2 linked regions of the Bombyx mori genome follow. The protein of the gene in region 2 purifies or fractionates together with the protein of the main gene of each other region. This does not show direct contact. Links are inferred from orthologs where the notes say so. Each region holds a gene or a part of one and is shown on either strand. Other genes may lie near its edges. The genes, in order: DNA repair protein XRCC1 and probable tyrosyl-DNA phosphodiesterase.

Region 1 (4,603 bases), on a different chromosome or scaffold from region 2:
TCCAAGCCGAGCTACCATACTCATTACAGTACACCTTCGTTCTCCTCGTCACAATACAACAGACCTTCTCAGGGAAATTCTTTCTATGGGAAAACGTTCTCTTCGTCTGACTTCTCTTCCCTTACGTCACCAGACTTCTCCAAGCTCTACTTTCCTACACACACAAGACCATCTTTCGTGGAATACCCACAAACATCTTTCTCTCATAAAGAGTATCCACGTCCGCGTCCTTACGAATATCCCACTTACGCTGAATCTACGCTCTCTGCTGAGACGGACCTTGGACGTTTATATTCATCATCCGTTCCATACTCGTACCTAAAATCTCATCACAATTCATATGATTCAAGCCAAGAGTCGTCTCCGACGATATTGTACGCTCAGCCTACAGCGCTCGGAGGATATTCTTACCACAAAAAACCTACCAAGAAACGAAAGATACTGCCAAAGAAAAAAATTCCTACGGAATCACCCGTCATCATACGCGTGCACAAACACAGGATAACGAGAAGCTAATATTATTTAAATTACTTAATTTATAAATAGTGATGAGATTTATTTAGTTTCGTAACAGTCTGATACCAATGTAAATAAATTTACATTTATTGACCTTAGCTAGTTTAAGGCGTTTTAAATGTGTGCATATTTTAAAAAATAATTTATAACTTTTGATTGTAACGTACCTAGACAGAAAAAAAACTAGGTTACGACTTATGCTCGGCTTATTCAATTGTTATGTCAATCTACTAAGTCTACAACTTTAGCACATAGCTCGTAAATATCTATTTATGAAATAAAATAAATGGAATAATAATATCATTATCCTCTTGATATAGAAAAACTAAAAAGTTCCACTCCACATACTGTAACGCAAATATGTTATAAATTTTACTTTCATCGCCAATGCCGATTAAAAACAATCGGAAGTGGAAGAGTGAAGAGGAGTCGCGTGAGTCCGACGCAGTCACGGACGGGAGCCCGCGCCTCGCGTGCTTGAAATGATATTGTTCACTTTTATCATTTACAATATTATTAATGTCGTTCTGACAAAAGTCATTTATTCAATATATAATAATAATAATTTAATATACAATAATTTAATAATAATATTTTTATTTATTTATTCAAATTAGTTTATTCACGCGCCTAAATTTTATTTCGTTTTTATATTAGATAGACAAGACCTGATATTAAGTGGTTAGGGGAACCTGTAGATATAACAACGTGCATGCCACATCAGGTCAAAGTCTAATAATTTTCACAGCTTTTATTAGACTTAAACGTAAGTTTCCCATTACAAAAACCTAAATTCTAATAAAATATCAAAGAATAAAGTAAGAAGGAAATGCAAAATAAGATGCGAATTAAAATTTATTGTGTACTTAACGAGTAACGACCTACGAGTAACCATAGACTACACGCATAATATAATAAACGAGTATCTATCAAACAAAAGTTTCTCCTTGTTTTTTCTTTATAAATTGCATTTGGCTTTCGTTAATATACCGTTATTTATACATTGAAGCACAGATAATAAATTACTATTAAGCCTATTCATTAATATTATTACACGTTTAAACACAGAACAGCCACGCTTAAACGCGTTTAAACTAAATCTATCTTTTCAATAAAGTAAAAAGCATACCTTCTGTCCTCATTAAACCTATCAATCGAAGCAATAACATCATTATCATCACTTTTTATGTCACAAACATGGCTTGGGGCTTTTCGTTTAAATGATTTGGCTGTATGAGGTAAATCCACGATACCGGTCCGACGGATGAAGAAAAAAAAATTCAATGTTTTCTAAACAATATTAATAATTTAATTTCGATTTTCGACCGAATTTAACGAACCAACTATAAATTATTAAAAATTTTTTTTTTTTTTAAATAACTCATCATAAGTGACCGTTTATTGTTAATGTGCGTTAAGGGTAAAACAATTATCTTTATCAAGTACTATAGGGCCAAATTATTACATGTTCCTAAATAAAGGTGTATCGCTATGCCGCGCGTGAAAATTGATTACGTCGTTAGCTTCAGCAGCGAGGATCCTGTAAGTTTTGATATTAATCATAATCTAACCTATTAATTGACAAAAACCAATGAGTGATATTGAAACCGTAGTTGAATTTTTAAATTTTGCTTGAAACATGCCTACCTGATCGTAAGTGATTGTTCCCGGATGATAAATTACTAAGCCCTACCCACCGCCCACCACGAAGCACGGGATTGTAACGATATGATGATGACAGTAAGCCAGGTCATCGGATATTTTTAAATAATGTATACCTTTGTCGTATTCAAAATGCACCAAACTAGTCTCACTTTATAAACCAGGCCTCTCTCTTTAGCCATTTAAATTGAACTATATGAGGAATGTTGATGAACTCATTTGGATCCAAATTAATGTTATGTGGCTGTTTTTAAACTCGATTTATAGAAGAAACCGCAACTGCTCGATACATCTACCTTCTGCCCGGAGTAATCGTATAGTAAAAATCAAACCAGCAAAATTATAATTTGCGTAATTACTGGTAGGTACCACCACCCTGCTTACTTCTGCAGTTAAGCAGTAATGTGTTTCAGTTTGAACGGTGGGGCAGTGGTTGTACTATAAAAACTGAGACTTTAGAACTCATCTCTCAAGGTAGGTAGCGACATTTACATTGCACATGTCTATGGGTTCCAATAACCACTAAAACCAAGTGGGCTGTGAGCTCGTCCCCCCATCTAAGCTATAAATAAATAAAGAACTAACACAGTAACAGTAACAAAAAAATACTACACAATGGCATCCATGTCATATAGACAAAAGTCAATTTCATATATTTGATCACAGCAAAGTATGAATGGGAATCAAGAGTTGAAAATAAAGTTATCATAAATGTAATGGAAAGTTATTTTGTACTTAATGAGCATGCAGTAGAACCCTAATTAATAAAAATATAGTACAGTTTTATTAATTTAAATTCAAAAATTTCTAAGCCATATAATTTTTTTTTTTCTAAGCCCACATAATATCAATGTTATTAGACTACATCTTACCCCTGGTAACCTGCTGCTTTAGTGTTTACTTACAACTATACCACAATTCAATTCTTTTATTTGGGGTCTGGAGATACTTATTTTCATCTCAAATGTGTTCTGCCATCCATAACACAGGAGAAAAAAAGGGTTTGGGTAATGTTCTTTGTAACATGTATAGCATAATAGTATCTTTGCTTCTCTACCAGGATCACCCAGCTAACAATCTGTTGGCATTGGAAGTGAACAAGAAGAAATGGCTGTGCTGCAAGGGAGAGTCTTCCTGCTCAGTCGTACTTCAGCTGGCCAAGGCAGTCCAGGCAAGCTCTTAACAAACATGATCTATTAAAATCTTAAATTTTTTCATATTTGTAATTTTGATATACAAACCTACGATACAAAAAGGGCATGCTGAAATGTAAATCTGGTCTATAGTTCTATACCTTGTTCTAAATCACTCTTTTCTATAGTTTTTGTATATTTTGATTATTTGTACTCGGAAATGGGTTTCTTTGTGGATATAATAATGATATATCAATAGACAATAGTCAAGATAGTTTTCTTATATAGTGTATGACTTCAACTTTCCTCAAGTAAACCTGGCAAAAAAACCAATAACATCTTAAAAATCAGATATCATCAGTCTATCTTGGTGTGCATCATGCTGCTACTGTGGAGGTGCTCGTTGGAAGATCTGAAAAACCTGATGAACCCTTTGAGGTATGTTTACTCAACTGTTAGGGAACTTTGCATTAGGGGTCTTGTAATTGATGAATATCTAGGATGCTTAGGAGGGAACAGTTTCAAATATGGAGGCTTCTAAAATAATAGTGTACTTTGGAATCACTAAAAAGGTTACATTCAAAAATGTAGCTTTACTCTGGTTATCATCATATCTGAAGATGTCAACAAATGTCTTCACCATGAATAACAGGGTCTATAATTTTATATAAGAATAAAAATAGGATTGAAAAACTCAAGGGATCATGTAGGGCATATCCCGGCACCCGGCTGCTTCTGCTGCCCGTCGCTTTCAAACATAGATATTGACAGTGGAGTGACCGGAGAGACATGCTCAGGTACTGGTCCCCAGCAGCGTGATGTTGTCGCCCAGCGAGTCCCGGCGCGCCGAGGGCGTGCAGCGCGTGCGGGCGTGGCGCGGCGACCAGCTGGCGGCCGCGGCCCGGGGGCGCCGCTGGGACCGCCTGCGGGTCGTGTGCGCGCAGCCCTACAACAGGCACTGCCAGGTACCATGCGCCCCGGTTGCCCTAATAACTATCTATCTAACTAATATTTTATAAGTAATATATAATAAGTATTAAACACTACTAAAACCCGCGGTCATGAGGATCGCTAATAGTAAAACATAATTAAATTTTTTAAACATCATTAAAATAACGTAGGGTAGGACGTCCTCCTGCTAGATAAAGTGACGACCTGCGCAAGGCAGCTGGCAGTAACTGGATGCGTAGAACCGAATATCGGGTTCAGTGGCGAGTTTTGGGGGAGGCCTATGTCCAGCAGTGGACTGCCGCAGGCTGATGAGGATGAATTAAAATTGTTACATTAGGATA
Region 2 (3,210 bases):
CGGAGCCTATTCGAAACAAACAAACAAACAAATCTTTCCTCTTTATAATATTATTAGTATTAGTATAGATTATAGATGTATAAATGATGTATGTATGTATATCAGCATCTAGATCTCCACATGTGATTTTAGTCAGGGACAGTCGACCATACGACTTACTTTTACCATTACTCTCACATAATAGGACTACGTTCATCCACATTGCGTCTCCAGAGACCTTGTTTCCAAGAACCTTCCCGCTCTGGCATGATCCCTCACCACGGTGTTTCCAGAGCACTACCACATGATTAGATGGAAGACCTTACTGAAACCCCACTTAACGAGTGTGTGCGCCGGGCCTCGGTTCGCAAACTGTGGAAAACATCTGTTAAGGCTTTAATGAGCAAGAATTCCACATGACCACGACTGCTCTGCCAAGAGCAACCGATTATGATGATGATGACCACATGACCTTCAGATTTGGCGAGATTCCTCAGACGGGTGCTTGGCATTGTCCTGGCGTCATGAATTAGGGTAACTAACCATCAAACCACCTGCACACTAATGCAATAAATAAAATAGAAATAAATAAACACCAATTATTTTATTGAACAAAAACCAAATCTGTTTCTCGACACTAGTGTACTTTTTTTTTAATTCTGAAATCGATTTCCATTTCCTGTGTTTTAGGATCGAATTGAAATTTGAGAGCGCGCCTCTAGTGTCGAGTCTTCAAGTCAATCATGATGTAATCTTCTTCTACTTCTTCACATGAGGTAATCAGAGACCCAGGGCGACATGCCATCCGTATATTTGACTGGCGGTAAGTCGTATGGCACGATAAGCCGGTTCGGGGCGTTTTGTTCTAGACAGAAGTAATCTTCGTTGGTCTGTGCAAAAAAAGGCATTTCTGGTGTAAATTGGCATAAACAGGCAGAGCAAACAACATATTGAATCTAATACGTAAGTACTAGGATAACATAAAGATAAAGAAGTCTTGCAAAGTTTGATGTGTAAATTTAAGCTAAAAAAGATTTCTTTATTGCCTTTGTTGGAAGACGAGTGAAAGTCCCACCTGACACTGAATGATAACCGTGGCTCATGAAAGTCAGAAATTGTAAGCGCAATATGTCAATGTGTAAATGTCACTTTAATCACATACCATGTCTATACCAAATATTTTATTAAAATTGTAAAAACAAGTGTAAATAAATAATTATTACATTTGTGATAGTCGAAGCAACAAATTGGACCACATTTCGACCTCTTATCTCAAGGATGGAGACAACAATAAATCTATGGACACCGATGACCACTTAACATCAAAATGGGCTTTAATATCCCACCACACAATAAAACATATAACCAGGAGACCATAGCAACGAAGAGGTATACATACATACATACACATACGTATAAAAACGAAACATGTTCAAAGAAATGTACCAGGAAAACATAACGATGAAGAAGTATGCACTTCAACTCCCACAACGAACTTTATAATAAGAACAATACGTCAGCATCGTAGGTCATTGATTGAGACGAAATTCAATCTACGGACTCCGATGACCACTTAACATCAAAATGGACTTTAAAATCCGACTACGAAATAAAACATGCAATCAGGAGAGCACAGCATCGCAGAGGTATGCGTAAAGAAAAGTTAATATTCCAAAAATGTACCAGGAGAACATAACAATGAAGAAGTATGTCTAAACTCACAATGAACTTTGGCAGGAACAGCACGCCGGCTTCGTAACTCATTATCCTGAGCGCTCCGTTTCCTTTGTTCGTCGAGCCCCAGGCCGCCTTGCTGACGTTCCCCGACGTGAGCAGGTAGTACGCTGCCTTCCTGCCGTCCTTCGACACCCGGGTGTAGGACTTTATGTGGGGCATCGCCCGGTTTCGATTCGTGGACGCAGCTCGCCATTGACTGCAAATGGTCCCACACGGTTACCGGTGTCAATATTCACTGTCAACATTTTGTTTGAGTGCATCAACCGGAGAAAAGGCCTGCAATGTGTCTTAATTATACGAGAAAGGCTATAAGAGAAAGAGGGAAAGAAAATGTGTGCTTGCACCCCTCTCTCTCTCTCTTTCTATATTCACTAACTTATATTTCCCTCTCAACTTCCGTTCGCCTCGCCCAATCACACTTTTCGTAACGCTATCGTCACGCATCCACCAGCTTAGTCCCCAAGTCAAGCATACGTAAAGAAGTTTTACTTCAAAATCTATTAAGTTCGTTCCGCGCCAACAAACATGTAGAATTAGGATCGTGACGGGTAAATAAGACTTTGATGCACAGGTTTAGCTTTTCATACAGTTTACTGAATCATCTACGCCATCTTGTTTCCTACTTCCGTCCCTTTCTAACATCTCCTCTCACTCACACCTTAAAACTCCCATTCCACACGTCCTGCCATAAGAGGCATAAGATCCAATCTTACCGATCCTACAATCGCCGCAATAAAGTAACTTAACGTGCCGAGCCAAAATTAAGAAGAAGAAGAAGTAACTTAACGAATAATGACCACTCATCAACAGGTGAGTCGTATGCTCGTTCGTCTCCCTAGAAAAGCAAAACACTAACTCTTTATAATTAAATTAATTAATTAAAAGAAGTTTTATAATTTTATCAAGTTATTTTCGATTAATTATAGATTGTGGTACTAGGGGGGCATGAATTATGAGAAGGTTAATAATGATATGCTCACTATAAAAAGCTATTTAGCCAAGGTTGTTTCGAATGCGCTTCGGCTGCGTAAGGCAAGCAACCGCCTCCTAACAAATCGTCGTGAGATTGTTTGACGTTTTCTGTAAACATAAAACAATATTTAGCATAACAATTACTCGATACATATCCATATCGATTCCTATGAAAACGATTATCTTACCTAAAGATGGATAAATCAGTTTCAAAGTAGGCGGAGACGACAACATCTGCGATTGGTTCTTGATTTTCGTGAAGTTGTGAAGGAAATCTCCGGTCAACCAGAGCTGCAAGCAAAACATTACTTTCTTAGAATTATGAAGCCCTGGTACTTTGATGTTACAAATATATACAAAGCAACAAACACATTATTATTAATTAATTGACATACCTAAATTATCTGGATTACCTTTGCCACAATAGTGGCCAATGACACTCTTAGTGTTACTACTTCGCAAAAATTTCAATGTTTTCGAACATTACTTTAAAAGTCGAATTTACTTAATAACAAAAATAAA

The links.
Region 1: the proteins of probable tyrosyl-DNA phosphodiesterase (region 2) and DNA repair protein XRCC1 purify together in Homo sapiens (affinity purification with mass spectrometry; 4 studies listed by BioGRID and IntAct, with this or other methods). This does not show direct contact. The link is inferred for Bombyx mori from reciprocal best matches to the Homo sapiens genes TDP1 and XRCC1.

The regions. Positions count from the first base shown.
Region 1 is NC_085124.1:497,652-502,254, reverse strand, and holds the start of DNA repair protein XRCC1, read left to right. Parts: upstream 1-1,554; 5' UTR 1,555-2,007; coding exon 2,008-2,058; intron 2,059-3,238; coding exon 3,239-3,349; intron 3,350-3,662; coding exon 3,663-3,749; intron 3,750-4,108; coding exon 4,109-4,276; intron 4,277-4,603. Other genes in the region: uncharacterized protein LOC101737274, read left to right, coding at 1-516. UniProt on the Homo sapiens protein: Scaffold protein involved in DNA single-strand break repair by mediating the assembly of DNA break repair protein complexes. Negatively regulates ADP-ribosyltransferase activity of PARP1 during base-excision repair in order to prevent excessive PARP1 activity.
Region 2 is NC_085130.1:17,794,270-17,797,479, reverse strand, and holds the end of probable tyrosyl-DNA phosphodiesterase, read right to left. Parts: intron 2,980-3,210; coding exon 2,877-2,979; intron 2,797-2,876; coding exon 2,697-2,796; intron 1,913-2,696; coding exon 1,702-1,912; intron 870-1,701; coding exon 747-869; 3' UTR 569-746; downstream 1-568. UniProt on the Homo sapiens protein: DNA repair enzyme that can remove a variety of covalent adducts from DNA through hydrolysis of a 3'-phosphodiester bond, giving rise to DNA with a free 3' phosphate.